Lonchura striata: one gene and its partner. The protein of the gene in region 1 interacts with the protein of each later gene in a biochemical or structural test. Links are inferred from orthologs where the notes say so. Each region holds a gene or a part of one and is shown on either strand. Other genes may lie near its edges.

Evidence for each region.
Region 2: the proteins of TNRC6B (region 1) and protein argonaute-1 form a complex in vitro, tested with the Homo sapiens proteins (2 studies listed by BioGRID and IntAct). The link is inferred for Lonchura striata from reciprocal best matches to the Homo sapiens genes TNRC6B and AGO1.

What each region holds. Positions count from the first base shown.
Region 1 is NC_134607.1:24,505,604-24,515,406, forward strand, and holds the start of TNRC6B (trinucleotide repeat-containing gene 6B protein), read left to right. Parts: upstream 1-5,310; 5' UTR 5,311-5,551; intron 5,552-9,803.
Region 2 is NC_134628.1:4,006,187-4,016,279, forward strand, and holds the start of protein argonaute-1, read left to right. Parts: upstream 1-5,692; 5' UTR 5,693-5,771; coding exon 5,772-5,796; intron 5,797-10,093. Other genes in the region: protein argonaute-4, read left to right, coding at 118-317, 411-519.

The DNA.
Region 1 (9,803 bases):
AGTTAAAAAATTAAATAGCATACTCAATTAATTTAGAACCACAGCAAAGCCTTGGAAAGCTGCCATCTTAAATCACTACACAGATACAACTCCCAGAAAATGATAATATAAGAAAGAAAAAATAATCCTGTGGTCTTGCTGTCCTAATAAGAGTTTGCTATAGAAGGACAGGTGGGAGCTTTCCCCAGCATCAGTATTGATCATACCTGTGTGATATTTACCTTTTGCAAGAGCATATATATATCTCCTGTAGCATAGGGAAGGAACTAGCAGGAATGTGCCTAACCCTCTTTTCTCTTCAAGATCTGATTTTTCTGTTGGGATGGAGCTGGGTGACATGGGTACATAAATGATGTTATAATTACTTTCACCTACCTATACTTTAGTTTCCATTTAGATTCAGCTAAAGGGGACTCAAAGTTTTGCACAGGCTGCTACTAATGTTGAGTATCATAGCTCAACCAAGCTGGTGGAATGGGAACATTAAAAGTTAATTAAAATCTTGTCTGAAGAGCTGCACTACTTCTAGCCTTAGCATAACTGCAAGCTGATAACTCCTATACACATGCTCGTTCGCTTTCAGGACTGAAAATAGTGAAAAGAGGCAAAAAGAGACTGTTTTAAAGATTACAATATTTTTCAAAACATTTTCCTAATTGTCTGTTTTTTTCATTAAAAAACCTCCACATGTTAGCATTATTTAGCTGAAAATAGCTGTATTTAAAATAGCTTCAAATAATGTTAACAAAGCATTGTTTTAATTTTGCCTCCAGGAAAAACAAAACAAAGTTGTATCATGAATTATTCTCTATTTAAAATCTCTGCCATCATATTAACAATTTTTCCCCTTTAGCTGTGGGCTGACAAAATTCTTTCTCCCTTTTCCTTCCAACAATATAATGTGAGCATGACAGCAAAACAAATTGAAACTTCTGCTAAGCATTTTGCCCAAGACATGCATAAACTGCTCTTGTTTCTACTGCAGCTGCATGTCTTTCCTGGGTATGACACATGAAAATAGGTAATGTCAAAATAAGCCTACTATATTAAGAACAGTTAGAGATGTGGAGGTGTCTGACTGGGACTTAAAGCTCAGGTCCTGAGCACTTACAGTTATTAAAGATATTTTTACAGTTTTTTGTAAAGCAGGAATGTTAGCACTAATCACATGACTAACATACAAATTTGAAAATTACATCTGACATCTCCCTAATTTCCTTTTGCTATTTAACTTAATTCTAGTATTCATTACTTTCTTTTTACTTAAATTGCTCTTTTGTGTTTCTTCTTTGCTGTTATGGGTGGCTTAGAAATGAAAAATAATTGCGTTGAAATCTGCTCTTCTCTATTTTAAACACAAATTCCTTTTTTCTATCCTGATTTTTACAGCTCCCAGGCATACGAAGTATTACTTCCTCTCTCTTCCTTGTTCCCTAAAAAGTTCCATGAAGGATGCATAAGAATGGCTGAGAAAACTTCTCAGCACTCAATTGAAGGGAATAGGAAATGCTGAATTCTTAGCAGGTATCTCGACTGAAAGTAATTATTAGGCTAAATATTTTTAAAATAAGGATAATAGGTATTTAAACAGGATTATAATATTTGTAAATATTTATGTTTTATTCCCCTCATATATTGATGCCATATGCCTGCTGAAACTTCCCTGAAGTCTTCTCAGAAAAGGATGGATTAAAAAGCAGCTTCCAGGGGAAAGATGTAAGTAAGAAAATAATCAGCCTGTGTTTATATAAAACAAGAGAACATAAATTCTTTTATTACTTTTTCTATGAATCGTCTTTTTAAAAATATTCTTTTGATGATCTTTTTGATCTTCTTTTTCAGTGCTGCCTGCATTTTAGACATAGATGAAGTACAGGATTATATCACATATTAAATGTTATATTTCACATGAAAACACCTAAACACAGGACATCATAAAGAGCATCAGCACACACTTTACTATGGCTTTCCAAAAAATAAATTTTCTTTTAATCACCATGCAGGTAAGTAGTTGGTTGCTTACTGTGTCCACAAGACAGCTGCTGCTTAGGGAAGTCAAAGCAGAAAAAAACGCAGGGTTAGCAAAGACCTTTTCTAAAAATACCAGTAGTTTTTAGTGACTGACTATCCAGAGTTCATTCGGGTACATTGATTTAAAAACCTATCAAGCCTATAAAAAATCATGTCATGGAACTTTTGGAAATAATAAACCAGTGTCAAAAACTCTGATTACTAATTCCAAATATCAGTGCTGTTTCTAAGTTCTTGTCCTCTCTCTTTCTTGCATCCAGAACTGTTCTAAGCTGGCAGCACTCTTTGTTTGTTTAGGTAAGTACCTTCATGTAGGCTTTTTCTAGACTGTCTCCCTGTCAGACGCAGTATTTATAATAAACTTAATTTTAAAAAGAAGAGGTGATATATTTTCATAACCTAAGAGTCAAAAGGCTGTGGGAAGTGATCCCAACTCTGAAGTCTGTCTGTCTCTTTGGCTACAGTCTGTGTGAGGTTTGATACTTGGGATGTCTGCAGGCAGGGTCCCAGCCTGTGTCTGCAGGAGTAAAAGGGAACGCTCATACTGCAGTGAGATCACTCCTCAAAGCTATAATGGTTTTTCTCATCACTTCTCCATCAGAAAGGAAAGACTTTCACCCCAAAGAAATCCAACCTTTCCCAGCACCTGGAAAGGCATCACGGTGGTAGTGTAATACTGACACCGAGTGGATGAAAAAATGTACTGCCACTGTCCAACTTTGTCCCATTTTTGGAGAGGCTCCGCAGTGGGGAGGTATGAAAAAAACAGGAAGAACTATTTTGTTCCTAAGCATCTGGACTTCATGAGAACCAGAACCTGTCTGGGAGCTGTGATTCCTTCCAAATCCACAGGTGAACCTGAGTGGGAACTCCTGAGTCATTCATTATAACTTCACAGAAACCAACAAAATCTGCTTGCTTTCTACTGTTCCAATTTGTTTGTAGTGTGAAACTACAGGGACAATGGAGAGTGGTATCTTTTGCTCCTCCAAAATTAAAGTATCAAGTTCCCTAGGCTTACGCAAAATAAATCATATTCCTTTACATGTTTTTACCAAAACCCTAAGCAAAACATGGGAAGGGACACTCACAAAAGAACACCAATAAAGGGAAAGAGAATTTAAAGAGGGAAATTATTTTATTGGTTTTTTATGTATGGCAAAGACTAGGTCAGCATCTTGGTCAGATCTTTCTCTCCCAAAACATGTACTCTTGGTGTATTAGTGATTTCTGCTTACAACTTGGGGAAAAAAAAATACAGACAGTTCTCAAACATTGAATAAACAATGAGGAAGAGAGGCAAAGTGCATCCAACAGTTATATTATTAATTCATATTGATTTATATAGAGCCTTTTGTATTCCTTACAGCACCACAGTAACAAGTATGCACATAGCCAGTATGAAATCTTAATCATATTAAGGTGGCTCTTTTCCCACCAATCAATGTAAAAAATCAATTACCATTACTGAATGGAGAAGCCATCGAAATATTCATTGTTCTTTACTGACTTGTGTAGCCTGAGTTTGCAGGGATCTTGTCTGCTGTCTCTGCCACCAGCCCACATGGCTTTCCTGTGCTGGCAGCTGTCCCTCCTGCTGGTGACTAACCTGTGAAGGGCTCTGTGGCTCTTCCAAGACAAGAGAACGTTTTCACCAAACACCCACAGACCTGTTTACTAAGGTGACAGGAACATCATATCCCTAGAGTTCTGTGTTCAGCTGCTCTGCTGATCAGGTTGTAACAGGATGCTCTCAAGGAGATCAAATGGAAACATTGCACTGGCTTGCAGCCTCGGCCAAAGTCAGGAAGTGACACTCATCAATGGAATGACAGCCCTCAAATTTACTGGAGATTAAGGAGAATGAGATTGAGCATAGAAATTAGGTACAAGGAGAACCTCTTGCTCCGTTTATCACTCCACAGGCTTCTGTTGTCCATGTGCTCCTCCCAGTGATTTCTCAACGCTCCTCTGGCCCTGCTCTTCCACTCTGCTAATCCTTTGTGCCATGCAGGTCCTGCTTATGTACCTCCCATTGTGTCCTTCCCATTCTGCGATCCAGCAGCGCTGGCCCACACGTGCTCTGCAGCCCAGGGCTGAGGCTGCTCATCCCGGCTTTCACTCCACCTCCCGGGGAAGCGTCCCGGGCCCGCTCCTGCCTCAGCCTCGCACCGACCCCCCCACACACACCCCGCAGTTTCTGACTCTGTCCACCCCACGAATAATGGAGACCAGCGCGTGTTTGTAACGATTACATTTAGTAATGACGCCGTGGTCACCCTAAATGCCTTTTCCACAAGTGCTCCCGGTCGCGGGCCCCCGTCACGTGCGCGGCTGCTCGGGCCACGTGGGATGCGGCAGGCACGCGCCGTCACCCCGCCCACCGTGCTCCTTCCACGGAGATTGGCAGTGGAAGCAACCAATCATAGGCAGGCTCTGCATTCCCCCACCCCCAGCCCACGGTTGCTGTGTCATCCGGCGGGTGACATGGGGGGGTGGTCGTCGGTTGGCTGCGCAGGCGTCGGCTATCGGCCAATGCATGACGCGAGCTGCATGACTGACACCTATCCTGCCCAATAGCTGTCGCGCGGGGGCGGGACGAAGCGGAGATGTCGCTGGGGGCGGCGGGCAGTGTGGCGTTGGTGCCGTGTCGCGGCGCCGCTGAGCAGCTGCAGCCGCAGCCGTACGCGCTATCGCCTGTGGCCGTCACGGCGCCCCGCACATGAGTGCACAAACTGACGAAACCTCGCCTCGGCTGAGGAGGGTTCCAGCGACAGCCGCGGAGCGCGGCTCGGTGGGCGGGTCTTCGAGCCGTTACGGTGTAACGGGCACATTACTTCTCTGCTGGAGTCGGAGCGTGCGAGCCACAACCCAATCCGTAGGGCGGAAGGGCGGGACAAGTAGAAGCGGGCGAGCGAGTGCCCCATTTAAGGGGCAAATCTCGCAGCTAACTGGCAGAGGAAGAAGGGGCGGGAGCCAGTGAGAGATGTGAAGGGGGGCAACGCTAACCACTGACAGCCAGCAAATGCAGCCAATCAGTGAGCGTGTAGTGACGCGAGAACCCAATCAAAAGGGCCCGGGGGCGTTGCTCCTCTGTGATTGATGTGCGTCCTGGCTAATGGACGGAGAGATTCCCGAGACTCTTCCCAATGGGCAGCGTGAAGGGGCGGAAAGGGGAGCGGAAGGAGAAGACGAGCGGGTAGAACGACCAATCAGCGTGGGGGTCGGCGGGGCGCCGTCCAATGGGCGGTGCGAGGGGCGGTTCGGGGGCGTGTCCCGGTGTGTTTGGGTTCGTGCTCCTCGGGGGAGGGAGAGACGGCGGCGAGGAAAGTTTGGTTTTGGTTTTTTTTTTTCCCCCCCCGGTGGTGTTTTTTCGGCGGCGCCGGCGGAGCGGGGGGGGGTACGCTTTTCGCAGCTTCTTCGCCTTTTGCTTCCTGGGGTCCGTGTTTCCCGGGCGGGTGGAGCCGCCCCCGGCACTGAGAAGAACGGGGGCTCAGCGCACCGCGGCGGCGCCTCGGCGGTGAGTACGGGACGGGCGCCCCACCTCTTCCTCATCCCAGCTCCCGCCGTGGGACTCCCTGCGAGCCCTTCCCGCCCTGCGGACCCTCGCGCCGCCGCTGAGGGGCCTCTGGCGCCGGGCCGCGGTGCCGCGGGGCGGGGGAGGGACGGGGGGGCCGGGCCGGCGGGAGGGGCCCCGAGCGGCGGCGGCTCAAGGGCGCTGCCCCGGCGGCGGCGGAGCGGCCGCTGCTCCCGCCCCGAGCCCGCCGAGCGCCTGTCCCGGGGCGCAGCCGGGCGAGCGCTGCCCCCTCCTCGCCTCACGTGCGGCCGCTGTTCGCCGCGGCTGCGCCCCGGTGTCCCCCACCGCCCCCTCCTGCTCCGCACTGGGCCCCGGGGAAGAGCCGCCCTCCCGCCGGATCGCCCAGGCCGGGCAGGACGGAAACACTCCGAGGAGCCCTTGTGTGGATGGGGAATAAAAGTGCTTTAGTGTGGGGACGGAGCTGAGGTTGCGTTGGTACCGCTGCAAACCGCGCTGGATGAGTGGAACGTGATGCTGACTAAAATGTGTGTGTGTCTGTGTGCGTGTATGTGTGATGGTGGGTGGGAAGAGTGACCGTGTTCAGAGGTGTGTCCTTGAGGGGGAAAAAGTTTCCCCAGCTGTTTGTAGCAAAATGAGGGAATGTTTGTTTCTGGAGACACTTCGCTGCCTGTGGATAAGCGCTGCTTGCAGCGTGGTATCTTGAAAGCTCAGATCCGCTTTATGAAAGTGTATGTAGGAGGGATCTACTACAGCATACAGCTGAGGCTTGTTGAATAAACCGAAGACTCCACAAAGTGTTTTCCTAGCTAAAGTAGAGATGCTTACTAATGTAAACAGTACTTGTTTTTCCATGGTAACGTTTCACTAACTTCATGAACATTTATTAAAATACCTCTTTGTAAAGTTAACTTTTTTTTTTTTGTTTTTACAATCCATTAATTACTATTTTTAAATCATGATTTGCTGTAGTTCAGTTTACAACCGCTGCAAAAGGTACGACGTTGTCGCTGACGTCAACAAACGTTGTCACGTTTACAACCTCTACAAAAAATGTGACTTTTTGTGCAAAATAGTGGGTCGTTCTTTGGGGGGTTTACAGCTCTGTATTTGAAAGGTCTGTTTCTAGTGTTTTCTAGTAATATCGCTGTCCATATGAGTGGATTTTGGAAATTAGTTCCTGCTACAAATGTTGTAGAGGTGATAACTTAGGTTTATAGGGTTATTAAATATGTGCACAAGTTCAAGCAGCTGTGTAGTTAGCTTGTCCACAGTGAAATTGCTCAGCAATGCCCTCCTCTCCTGTGGTGACTCTCTAAGGGTGCAGATTCCTTGGAATGCGCGCTGTTGAAATGTGAGTGAATGCTCTCATCTGCTGCATTACCCAAGGCCCCGAGCTAAAAGTTCCAGTTTTTCTTCAGAAACCGTGGATAGTGCACGGTCTGCTGGGTCGATGTATCTCGGGGGAGGGGTTTGCAGGAGTGACTTTTCACCTGAGTTTTGCTGAGTTGCAGATGTAACTAGACAATTCCTCAGCGAAGAAATCGCCCTGCAAAAAGTTGGGGCTGGAGATGGGGGAAGGGAGCCCAGAGAGATGTTAGCTGTGTGTTAGATTTTCACCTGTGGGGTTTTGGGGCAGTAAGACACAGGCACATCTGTCTTGGTAGAGAGTAGGTGAAGTCATCATTAGACATTTATCTTGTTTAGCTATACTGCATTTGTGCTGATGGGCAAAATGTTTTTGGGATACTTACAGGGAATCACGTAAATCCTGTAATATGGAAGTACTGGTAAAAATGTAACGATAAACCAGTCAGTGTCTTCTTGATTAGGTAGACTTTTGAATTAATGCACTATTCCAGTTTCTGTATACCTGCAAATTTAGCTAGAGATCTACACTTTCATTTAAATAATAAGTTCAAACATTTGAACATAGAAGTCTTGAAAAAGCTTAATGTGCCAGAGTTTGTGTGATTGACTAGTCCAATAAAACATTTAGGTTGAGTGTGTGTCATGGCTTTGCTTGGTGATGCTTATTTCATCGTTAAAACTTGATGTTGGAGGAAGCTTTAGGAGAGAATTTTGTGTAGCTCTGAGGTATTGTATTTTACCTTAGATCTGCCTCCTATAATAGCAAGTAAGAAATTAGAAATTCTTTTTTTTGCAGAAGTAATGTATAATAAAAATCATACGTAGGTAGAGATGGCTGCATCCTGAACAGTGGGATGAATAGCTGCAGCCAGAATGATGGAAAGAACTGAAGGACCGCTATAAGATAGTAATTTGAAAATATGTTAAAATGGGGTTTGTTCTCTGGGATTTTTGAGTTATTTTTTAATTTATTTTTTCCCCCTCTGGTAAAGCTGGTGTATTTCTGCTCACAGAAGAGATTGGATTTACAATTAAGCAGTATGAACTGGAGATCATAGAATAAGTCTAAGAAGCTTAGTTATTGACTTGAATGAGTTTATTAATAGTCTGCTTAATGGTTTGGTTACTCTGTTTTCCATTTTCTGCAAAATGCTTGGATGCAGTTTGTTCTAGTCACTTATCACTGTTACTGTGTTTATTTTCTTGGACATCTTTATACATAAATATTGTCTGCTTTGTACGGTAATAACAAGTAATAGTAATTTTCCAGTTTCTTTACAATGGCTTTTGTCAGTCATTGCTCATAGTGCTGCTATTAGATTCAAGAAATCTGCAATACTTCTACTTACAGCGTACCTAGCATCTTACAGCTATTCAGCTCTTTATCATTAGTTCTTATTTTTCATGCAGCCTTAACCTGTGTGTAATTTGGGTCAGTAGATGTATTTTTGTGAAGAACTGGTGCTGTTTATTTTCACAGGATAAATTAAACATGTTTAACACATAGATCAAGAAGGGAAGTACCTGATATTAGCACATATGTACCATTGGTTTTCTTTAAAGCTTAAAGTTTTCTGTTACCTCAGTGCTTATAAAATGTATTAGCTCTGGATTTGCTTTTAATGGTCTGTTTCTTGCATTTTCAGAAATTTTAATCATGAAATGTTTCACTATCTTAGGGAAAGAATAGCAAGGGAATGTCAGTCTTCCGTTCTAATTGCAAGAACCTAGTACAGAGATGTTGAGCAAACAGTAACATACATTTCTAATAGTTTGACCAGTTGTGGTAGAAAAATACATGTATTCTTGCTAACAGTCTTCCTTAGCTTAGCATTTACTGTCTTTCTCCATTTTCAGATAAAACATGTGATAAGGGTGCTTGTTCTTAACAGCAAACAGTGTGGAATGTGGACTGAAGAATTTATGTTAATTTCTTGTGAATCCAAACTTAACTTTTGGCTACTATCTGCTAATAAAAATAGGGGCACTTTTGGGTACTTGGGCCAGCTGTCACTGTCAGACAAGTAGTTGCCTGCTGGTATTTCAGCTTGCGAGGTGACTGGGGTGAGAGTAATCAGGATATTCTGATTGCTGTTCCCTGTCCCTTTCAGCGGATAATAAAACTCTTACATTTTCTTACATTTGTCTTCTGTTCATGACTTCTTTGTGTTGCACTTCTACTCATTATTTTTATTTCTTCAGAGAAGTAAACATGCTTTGCTGCAAGGCGTTGGTGTCACTTATTTTTTTTCCTTTAGAGCAGTAGGCAGTGAGTACGTTAAATTTGTTTTTTCTCTTTGCCTTCTTATAGCGGTTAGAGGGAGAGGGTGTTTTTGCACTTATTATGGTTTGCATCATGTTGTAGGGGAATGTTCTGAGGTTTTTAAGTTTTCATCAGCCTAAGGGTTGTGGTTGGAGTTTGGATGTTCTCTGTGTTTACCATGTAGTGAGCTATGGAGATGACCTTTTCCAGTTTCAGCTAGTCAGTACGGATTGCGTTTCTGGGCCCTGCCAGCTTTAGTAGTTCTGAAATTGGATATCGTGCATGTATTTCCTGATTTAATGTCTGTGGATCAGAAAAAACTCAATAGTTCCTCTGTGAGAAAATCTGGGAAGCAAGTTAATGTTCTATTGAGACACTGTTTAAATTTTTAAAAATATCTACTTAGAAAAGTAAAATGGACCTGAAAGCAGCTCTTAGTCAGTTTAGCTTTTAAGTCTGTGGAGCAACATCCTGCTTGTCAGGAGAAATGGGAGGTATCATAAGGCAGCACTTGTGCTGCATGCTACAGGATACTAGTCACAATAAATGTGTAGAAAATAACCTGGAAGTTGGTATATTTTGACCATGTTAGACAGAAGATGG
Region 2 (10,093 bases), on another chromosome or scaffold:
GTTTGTCGGTGCCTGCTTGGCACTGACTTCTCAGTGCCTGCTGGAAGGTGCAGCCTGCAGCTACCATCTCTGTCCTTGCTGTTGCTCTCCAGCTGACTGCTCACCTGTTCTCTGCAGGGAACCAGCCGGCCCTCCCACTACCAGGTGTTGTGGGATGACAACTGTTTCACAGCAGACGAGCTGCAGCTGCTGACGTACCAGCTGTGCCACACGTACGTGCGCTGCACCCGCTCTGTCTCCATCCCCGCGCCCGCCTACTACGCCAGGCTGGTGGCCTTTCGGGCCAGGTACCATCTTGTGGACAAGGATCACGACAGGTAAGGAATGGCATCATCATCCTGGTAAGCAGGTAGTGAAGCTGAGCTCTGCTGCTTGTCCCAAGTTGCTCATGGGTGTGTGTCTGCTCACAGCGCTGAGGGCAGCCACGTGTCGGGGCAGAGCAACGGCCGCGATCCGCAGGCGCTGGCCAAGGCTGTGCAGATCCACCACGACACCCAGCACACCATGTATTTCGCTTGAGAGCACCTGGGAAGATGAGGCAAAACAACTACCCATGCAGTCCTGAAGTGTTTGGAAATCTCCTGCTCTACCCAGGGCCGGGGGATTTCGGACTGCCCACTACCAGCAGCTCCGGACAGTCGCACTGAATCTGTTCTTCACTGCAACGTCTGATGCACCAACACAATTGAGCCATTTGTTTCATTGTTTTCTGTACTAGAAATCCATAGACTTGTCTTTTCTGATGCATTGGACTGAATTTTTACCTCAAAGCGCAAAGGCCGATCATCCTGAAATTTTTCAAGGAGTTGGCACGAAAGGTTTCTATCAAATCTTTTGCTAGCTGTGGTTTTTTTCAGTTCTCCTCATCCCATGAGCTGACGGTGACTGCTGCTCTGTCTCCGTGCCCTGCTTCGTGAGTATGATGTGATGGCAAAATGTTTTATCCAGCTCGCTGTAATCCTTCTGTCGTGTGGGGCCATAAATTTTTTTATGGAGATTTTAGACTTCACTACTGTAAATGCCTTTTAACAAACATAACTTTCACAGGTATTGCAGTTTTTTGTCAGTTTTACTAATTATCTTTTTAATCTCTGCAGACTTGGGCTGCAAAGCAATTGCACTATACTGCGAGTTAATAGGTGGTTCTTGTTCTGTGAATGTGTAATATAACCAATAGTGATGCCTGTCAGTAGATTTTAATGATAATGGTTATAAATAATACTGCCATGGTATCGTAACAAGTACTGAACCATCATTTCCCCCCTCTAAAAATGATAAAACAAAAAAAAAAAAATTTAGCTTTTAGGTATTTTGCAAACTTTTACAAAAGTGCCCACTTTATGCTGCTGTGTGGTTTGATAAATCTAAGTGATTTTAAAACTTTTTTCTCATAGAAGGTTTAACTTTGGCAATAAATCTTTGTTTTTTAAGCCCCCCAAACAGTGTAATTTTCTAGCTGAGGATTGTGCATGAGTTTAACCAACATTCTCGTGTCGTTTTCTGAACACACAATTTGGCAGTTTCTGAAACAAATTAGAAAAGACACATTTCCATGCTTTTTTTAAGGATTATTTTTAACTGTTTTATATTCACTGTTGGTGTCCTGTCTAGAACATTTTTTATAAGCTTGGAAACTGGGTGTTCCGTGTAGGAAAGGCCAACGTGTGCAGTTGAAATGTATTGTGTGGCAGGCAACCTGAGGACTTGTACCAGCATTTTGAACTGTTTTTTTCCTGGGAATTTGGGTTGCCCACACAACTGCATTTACGGCATGTTGAACCCGTGTGAGTCTCAAATGCTGATTCTGTCCTAGCCTAGAAATTAGGGTTTTTAATCTGCTTGGCTTTTTTCAGCTGCAACCTGTAATCCAGAACAGGGACCTGGTTTCCCTGGTATATTCCTGTAATCCATGAACGTAGTAATTTAAGACTAGATTCCTTATTGTATACCTGAGTTAGTGCAGATTAAAGCTTATTCCTAAACTGAGGAGGAGTTTAAGAAGCCCAAGGATTGCACTGTGGTCTCTGATACTTGTGTGGGGTTTGCTGCTAAGTTGTCTGCTGTCCCAAAGCTTAGGAACCAGCCCCCTCCAAATTTCAGCAATAGGAAATGCTGTTTCCTTCAGTCTTTAAGCTTGTAAATAAATGAAAGTTTACATTTCTAAATGCTGTTGTTTTCAGTTGTACCAGAGTACACTGAACATCTTCAAACAGTTTTATAACCTCCTTACCAGTACTATGTCTCATAAATTAAGTTTAACCTCTTTTCATTTCTGTTAAAAATGGGACTGAAGTGAATCCTGCTCCTGGCATGTGCCAAGACAGGTTTAGATTGAAAAAAACAAAAAGATTCTTTTACATTTTTTAACTTTTTTTTTAAAGAATACCTCACTTGTGTAATAAAATCAGGACATGTGGGTGGGAGACTGACCGCTGCTTTTCTCAGTACTCGTTCAGGGAGAAGACACAAAAACCCTTTTTAGAGTGAACTCTGACTGACCCAACACACACGGAGAACCTTGGCACCTTGAAAAGCACCTGAGCACCTGTTGGAGGTGGTAGGATCCAAGATCCCTGATTTGAGTTTGTGCACTAGGAATGGGGCTGGTTTAACAAGGGTGCATAAAAAATGAACTTTATCACCAATTAGTTGTCCAGTGCCAAGCACTCCTGGTTGAGACTGAGGGAAGGGAGAGCCTCTCCTTGGTTTGCCTGTGACTGGATATTTGACCTCAGACCAGGTGGAGCATCAGCCCCTGGTGAGCCCTGGGCCAGCACCCGAGCGGGGCTGGTGTGAGCCCACCCCGGGCACAGGGCTGGAGTTTTGGGGGGAAAGCACTGAAGTTCAGGATCCAAGTTGCAGCAGTGCTGCCCTAGGTAGGTCTGAGCCCAAGTCTGGATGACTTGAGGACCTGAGTGAGCCCTGTGGGCCTGAGTGACTCGTTCTGCATGTGTCAATCAATGGGAAGATGTGCATTCTGTAGCTGTAGTTTTAGGGTGTTTTGATTTTTGTTTTTTGGGGTTTTTTTTATAAATAAAGCCTGTTGGCCACTGTTTAGCTCTGTGGTGTGAAAGATTTTAAATGTAGCAAAGTTCAAAGAGTTGGGGAAGGGGGTGGTTGATATATATTAAAAAATATTTTAAAAAAGGGTGGGGGGAGGGGGCAGAAATCCTGTTTTCCACCTGGTTCTGCTTGCTTTGTCCCTGCTGAGTTCTGAAGAAGCTCTGGCAATCCCTAGTTAGCCTGTCTCCAGCAGTCTGGCTCTTGTATTGCTGTGAGTTCCCCGGGTGCCCGGAGCTCCATCCGAAGGGCACTGCAGAGGTGGGTGCACGGGCTGTGCCGTGTCCAGCCTCGCTTGGCCCTTCGGATGGGGCAGGGCCCTGGCTCAGAGCTGGCATCTGACAGCCCCGACCCCTTTGTGGATGTGCTGTAGGAGTTTTCTTGCTCAATAGCGAGGGAGTGACTCTGCTTTCATTTTCAGAAGGCAGGGCCAGAGGGCATTGGCTCCATCCCAATCCTGATCCACTGCAAGGCTCTTTCCCTGTGCACTGGAGGAAAGATCTTGCACTAAATATCACTTACAGATTTTCTTAGACCTTGCTATTGACATTTTCATATTTCTATGTCTAGAGGCTGCAACTTCAATGTAAAATGTTTGCATTTGTTCAGTTTGACTTCTGATGTAATTTTTTGGTTTCTATATTGTTAGACTTGTAATGTTTCAAATGGTATTTTATTAACTTTGGACTGGATGTATGTCTCTAGCAATACGAGGTACTTTCTAAACTGTCCTGGGGCTCACAGCCCCGTGTCGAGATAAGATGCTGGTCGTGTACAATTGAATTGTATTTTTTTTTTTTTTAGCCTGCAGGGATATTTTGTGTTCATGTGTCCAAAAATAATAATAATAATAAAAAAAATTGGCATTCTCGTGCCAAATGTTCTGTTTTTCATTATTGCTGTCCAATAAATGCAATGTACAGAGTGAGCAACCAATACTGTTGCCTGTATACAAATGTCTTAAACTATTTAACTTTTAATTAAAACTTGTACAGAATGTGTCACCTGTGGAACTCATTACCACAATATATCTATTTCTGATGCATTAAAAGTTAGCAAGTTAAAGAAATACATATGGGTGACATCTCCCAGAATCCTAAACCTGAAGGGAAGCTGAAATTGCAATCCCCAGGGGCAGGGTTCAGAATGGGCCTGTTTTTATAATGTTTGGGAAATTACAGAGAAAATTTGGTGTTGATGGACTGTACCTGCATGGAGAGAGGGGATTCTATATCAGAGAGATGCAATGAATAAATACAAGAGCTGTTGGCTGCTTCATCTTTATGTGAGGCGAGGGTTTGTCTCCTTAGACAGCTGTGCTGCACTATAAATACTGCAGGAAGGACAGGAAAAGCTTTTGGAGAAGGCCAGAGTGTGGGAGCTGTGGCTGAAACCAGGACAGGATTGTCTGAAATGCCCGGCACCTCCTGCAGCCCCGCTTAGGTGTCAGTTCCGTTTGCAGGGCACATCCTGGGGCTTTGCCACTGCGGTTGCTCAGCCTCATGGAAACCTGAGGAGCTCAAGCCTCGAGGTTTGCTCATCCTAGTGTCTTCCAAACATGATGTAAAGACCTCTTGGACCAAACCTCAGGAACTCAGGGTTGAGCGATGTCTGGGATTCAGTGCCACAGCCTTGCTGTCTGTGCAGCTCCAATTCCAAAATCCCTGCTGGGTCCTGCTCCAGCCACTCCCTCGGGACAGCAGGAGCTGCTCCTCATACTTTGGGAGAACACAAGATGGGAATGCTTTGACAGCCTGAATTCCTGTAGCTTTTCCACGTTTCCTGGAACGGCCCAGCTAGGAACACACACCTGGGCTCATTGTGGGAATGATGCTCCTGGGGTTTATGATGTTGTTGAGGAAGTCAATGCACAGGGTCAGGGATTTGCGCTTCCTGGGAAGGTCAGGTCTGGGACGTGGTGGGAAACAGGATGGAAAGGGGGCCGCTGTGCCCAGTTCTGTGGATTTAGATGGAGCAGGGCCACAGGGAATTCCTGCCCTGCCGCTGCTGGTGCTCAGGGGCCTGTGGCCCTGAGGAGGCAGCTACCTGCAAAAAATCCGAACGGCGAAGGATGTGTCCCAGACCCAAGCTGCCCCCACCTCAAACTACTGCTGGCCTGACAGTCCCAAAGGAACCCTACAAACACATCAGGAACCTGGGCTGGCGAGTTTTCCTTCACAGGGAAAAGTGGCATTAATTGTGCTCAGGGGCCGGTGGCCCTGAGGGGGTGGCCACCTGCAAAAAATCCGAACAGTGAAGGCTGTGTCCCAGACCCAAGCTGCCCCCACCTCAAACTACTGCTGCCCCGACGGGAAGCCTACGAGAAAAAAAAAAAAAAAAAAAAAAAAAAAAAAAAAAAAGAAAACCACGAAATAAATATTTGTGTCAACCGCGCAGCGGGCGGCCCGGGCACCGGCGGGCGGACAGCGCTCGCCGCTCCCCGGCTGCAGCGAGGCCCCGGCCGGGCACCCCTCGCCGTCCCGAGCGGAGCTCCCCGGTCCCCCGGGTCCCCCCGGTCCCGCGGGCCCCAAGATGGCGGCGGGGCCGGCGGGCGCCGCCTTTGTTGCGCGCGGGGCCGGGCGGCGGCGGCGCGTGCGCGCGGCGTGAGGGGCGTGAGGCGGCTGCGGCACCGGCCCCGGCCCTGCCCGGCCCCGGCCCCCGGCACGGCCCTGCCCCGGCCCCCGGCTCGGAGCGGCGCCCGCGTGGATGGGATGGAAGCGGGACCCTCGGGAGCAGGTACCGCCGGCGGGGATGGGGAGGTCGGAGCGCTGCGCGCCGGGGAGCGCCGTGAAGGCGACGGGGGGCGAAAGGGATGAGGCCGGCGGAACGGGGGACGGGTGTGCGGCGGGGGCTAGGGGACCTGTGGGCGCCGGGGCGGGTGAGCGCGGTGGAGGGGTGTGCGGAGGGGACCGCGGCGGGTGGCGATGGATGTGGCGGCGGCGCGGGATGTGCGGGGGCGATGCCGGGGATCGGAGGATGTCTGAGCAGCGGGGTGCGGGGGGGCTGCGGGCCGCCGGGCCGGCGCGTCCCCAGGGTGCCCCGAGAGCAGCAGCGGTGCGGGCGCTGGGCAAGGGGCGATGGAGGGACCCGCAGGAACCTCGCAGGAGGGGGCACAGGGCCGGGGTCACGTCCAGCCGCAGGTCCCCACAGCGCGGAGCGAGCCCTGCTCAAGGGGCCTGCTCTGCACAAAGCAGCAGCAGCAGCATCCCCCCAGCTTTCCAACCTTTCTCCCAGCTCCCATTCCTTTCCCCCTACCTCCCACTCCATCCATCCCCCCGGCTGCCATTCCACTCCCCTCCCTGCCATTCCCTCCCACCCCCCAGCTGCCATTTAATCCCCCAGCTCCCCATCCATCGCCCAGCTCCCCGTTCCCCGAGTTCGGGGAGCGGGGCGCAGGCTGCAGCTGGCGCGGGGCCGGCGATGCCGTGTGCCGTGACAGCACCAAGCGTCTCCTCCGCCCGTGCCAGGGCATGCGCGGAGCCAGGGCTGAGCATGGCCCCGCGGGGCCAGAGCCACCCTGTACCCCCGTGTCCCCTGCCGCAACCTCCACCCCGGTATGGATGGGAGCAGCTGGCAGTGCCCTTCGTGCCGGGCAGCTCGGCGAGGGTTTGGAGGTCTGTTCCCTAGGCCGTAGCATCGGTTGCTGCTCGCTCCTGTGCCTGGCCTGAGCATCGCCAACTTGCGCTGCTGAGTCCCAGAAGGATTTTGGTGCCTAGAATAAGGCAGAGGGAGGGATGGGGTGATGGAGATGCAGGTCACTGCCCTGCTGAGGCACGGGGCGATGGGGATGGAGAGCTACTGCCCTTCCGAGGAGCAAGACGAGGGGATTGGCAGTCACTGCCCTGCCACCTCTCTTGTGCTGGTGGGTTTGCCACCCTCCACAACACATCAGCCTGATGAGATTTTGACATAAACCTGCTGAGTGTTTGTAAACTTCAGTCCTTCGGTGTGATATTTACTTTAAGTGTGGCACAGAAATCTCCCTGTGTCTGCGTTACCTTCTGGCTACTGGGTGCTTTGTGTTTTGGCTGATTTATGGCCTCTGGAAGCAGTGATTTGGCAGCACCACGGGCTTTGCCAGCGCCTTGGGGCGACAGCAGTGCTGCTGCCTCAGGGCCACAAAGATAACGTTGCTGGGCACCCTCCTACCCCAGCCTGAAATGATGCTCTTAAGGTGCGATAAAAGAATCTCTTGTTTTGGGATGGGGATGCACTTGGTAGACAGGTTTGGGTTTCAGTCCGTGGGCCTGTGAGGGCTGCACTGGGAGCAGGGCTCTGCTGCTGCAGCCTTGGGAGTTTCCCCTTCTGTCCCCAAATTTGGCTGGGGGATGCCTGCTCTTCACCCCTTGAACAGGGGACTCATGCACCCCGTGTCATCAGACCTGCTGTGAATCCTGCCCTGCTGTGGCACCCCTGTGCTTGTGCCAGACCCTGAGTATGGGCTGAGCCTCACACGCGAGCTCTGATGATGCTGTGGCAATAAAGCAAAAACTGGCATGTGCCTGGATGTGCCCAACATGGAGATGTCTGGAAAGGGAGAGGAAAAACCTAGGACATGGGACCCACAGGCAGCACTCAGGAAGACACACGCATGCAGTGGTTTTAAAAACTATTGTCCCACAACTTTTAGTTTATCCCTTGCAAATTTCCTAAAGGCTGTTAATCTCAACCGTTGTCTTCCTGTGCTGAATCTTGCAAAAACCCCAAAGCTGCTCCGTCTGTTGGGGCTCTTTATCTTCAGGAAACATGAAATTGCGTATGCCTGGTTCTGGGACAGGATTAAGCCGAGAAACAAAGCCAGGAGAAGCACCTTGCCTGGAGACACAGCATGGATGGTTTATCTCTAAACACTCTTTGCAGCCTCTCCCTAAACCCTGGGAAGAACAAAACACAGGCAAGTTATTAAGATGGCAGACGCGAGGAGGAAGCCAAATTAGGCAGAGAAGCTGCTCCTTCGGCAGGGTGATCCATGCAGAGCCACGGGCGGGTTCAACCTCCGCTCCCAGAGCCGGTGGCACTGCGGGGTCGCGATGGGACATGGAGAGGAGCCGACGTCGCTTTTGTCCTGTCCCTCTGGCACTGGGGACCGCCTTTGTCTGCGACTCTCGGCTCTGCGCATCCCTGGCTGCTGCCTGGGCAGTGCAGGAGCAGCGGGAGACCTCACGGGGCTGGGCAGGAGATGTCAGCCTCCACCCAGCCCAGGCACCATTAGCTGGGACCCCAGGGTCACTGAGCGGAGTCACGCAGCCTGGATGTGCCACCGAGTGTGCTCAGCAGGGGAGCTGGCACTTGCTGTGCCGGTGTTTCTCAAACTCCGTCAGAGGGATGGAAAACAGAGCTGCTGGACAGCTGAGGCCAGCTTGGCAGAACCCTCACATGTCAGCTCATGATTGAGCTGTGTCCACACTGGCAGCATCACCACACCACTGGCATCACCACACTGCTCTCCAGAGCCAGAGCAGCTGGAGTGCAGCACCTGCAGCTTGACACTCTTGCTCAGCTCAACTTGTGGGACTGCATGTCCCAGGATGCACCCATTCAACCAGACAGCTTGCACTTCAGGGTGTCACCCGTAATTTCCAGGTGGGAAGCACAGCAGTGTCCTTAGCAATGTTTAATGTGAGGTTATGAAGAACTCAGCACTTTCAGATGTCAGTCCTGTAGTAAAACAGTTTAGAACCCGTTTTGGCTCATTTTTTGGGTGAAGCCACCCCAGTGCAGGGCAGGACCAGAGCTTGGGCGGCTCAGCCTTCCCTCAGCAGCCAGGCTCTGGTGCATGGACAGTTTAATGCTGGGCTCTGACAGCTGCAGATGGAGCCGCTGTCCCATGTGTGCATCACCTGCTGAAACTCAGTTTGGTGTCAAACCTAAAAGCACTCACAGCTGCGTGACCCTGGCAGTGCTCAGGTCACTCAAGAAGGAACAGGCAGTGGTTTCTGCATTGGCAGAGCTGAGTTGGGGCTTTTTGAAGTCTGGACTATGTGGAATGGTGTTGGTCACTGCTTAGAGCCAGTGGTTTTTAAGGTGTCCAGCCTGGAGATCTGGAACACCAATTGCTCATCCTCCCCAGCAGCTGCCTTTCCCACTGGTGCTGCCCCTTGCTTTGCTCCCCGACGGGGGATTTCATTTCCCGAGGGGATTCTGGGGTGGTTTAGGACGGAGATGTCTCAGGGTGAGGATAGACCACGCTGCCTGTCCGGTGGCATTTGTTGTGCCGCGGCCCCGTCTGCACCTCTCTGATTCCTGGCTGTATTTTGGCGAGTGGGTGTGCGGAGAGGGGGCCGGCACGGACCCGCCGCCGCCGCAATAAAACTCCCTTTTGTCTGGGCCCCGTTCCCGCGGCCCCTCGGCTGAATGCAGCGCTGGAGAGGATTTCAATGACATGGTAATTTCATGCCGTCCCACCGGCGGCTTCGCCCGACGCAGGCAGCTGTTGGGCAGCGGGTCGTGTTCCCCAGCTGTTACAATAAATAACAGAAACAAAGCGTATTCCAGCGCTAATTACCTCAAACTTGCTCTCACTTCGGTGGCTCTGCCCTCTCCGCCGTCTCTGCCCGCGGTACCCGGCGGAAGGGCGTCGATGCTCCGCCGCCGGCGCGTCCCCAGGACATGGCTTTGTGTGCGAAAGTCTGTGATTCCTCCCGGGCCGCGGAATTTCTAATGGCAGCGGATTTCATCCCGCTCACTGGCCGCATTGTGCTGCAGGAACAACACTCGCCCTGCAGCCCCTGGCCCCGGCGCCCGCATTTACATGACAAAGTGGGAGCTTGTGCAGCTTCGCCATGGAGAGTCGAGGTATGCAGGAGCTACACTGTGTGCTGGAGCCCCCCTGTTTCCATGCACTCTGGGTAGCTTTTTAACGAGGCTTCTTCTTGTTGGCTCCTTTTCTGGTGCCTGAGCCAGCTTCAGGCATGAGGTGCCTGGGGATGACAGTCGAGATGTCCGGGATCCCCTGGCAGCATCCTCTGAGCCAGGAGAAGGGTGGCTTTCACTGAGGCAAATCACCGAGAGACCCTGAGTGCTTCAGGGCAGG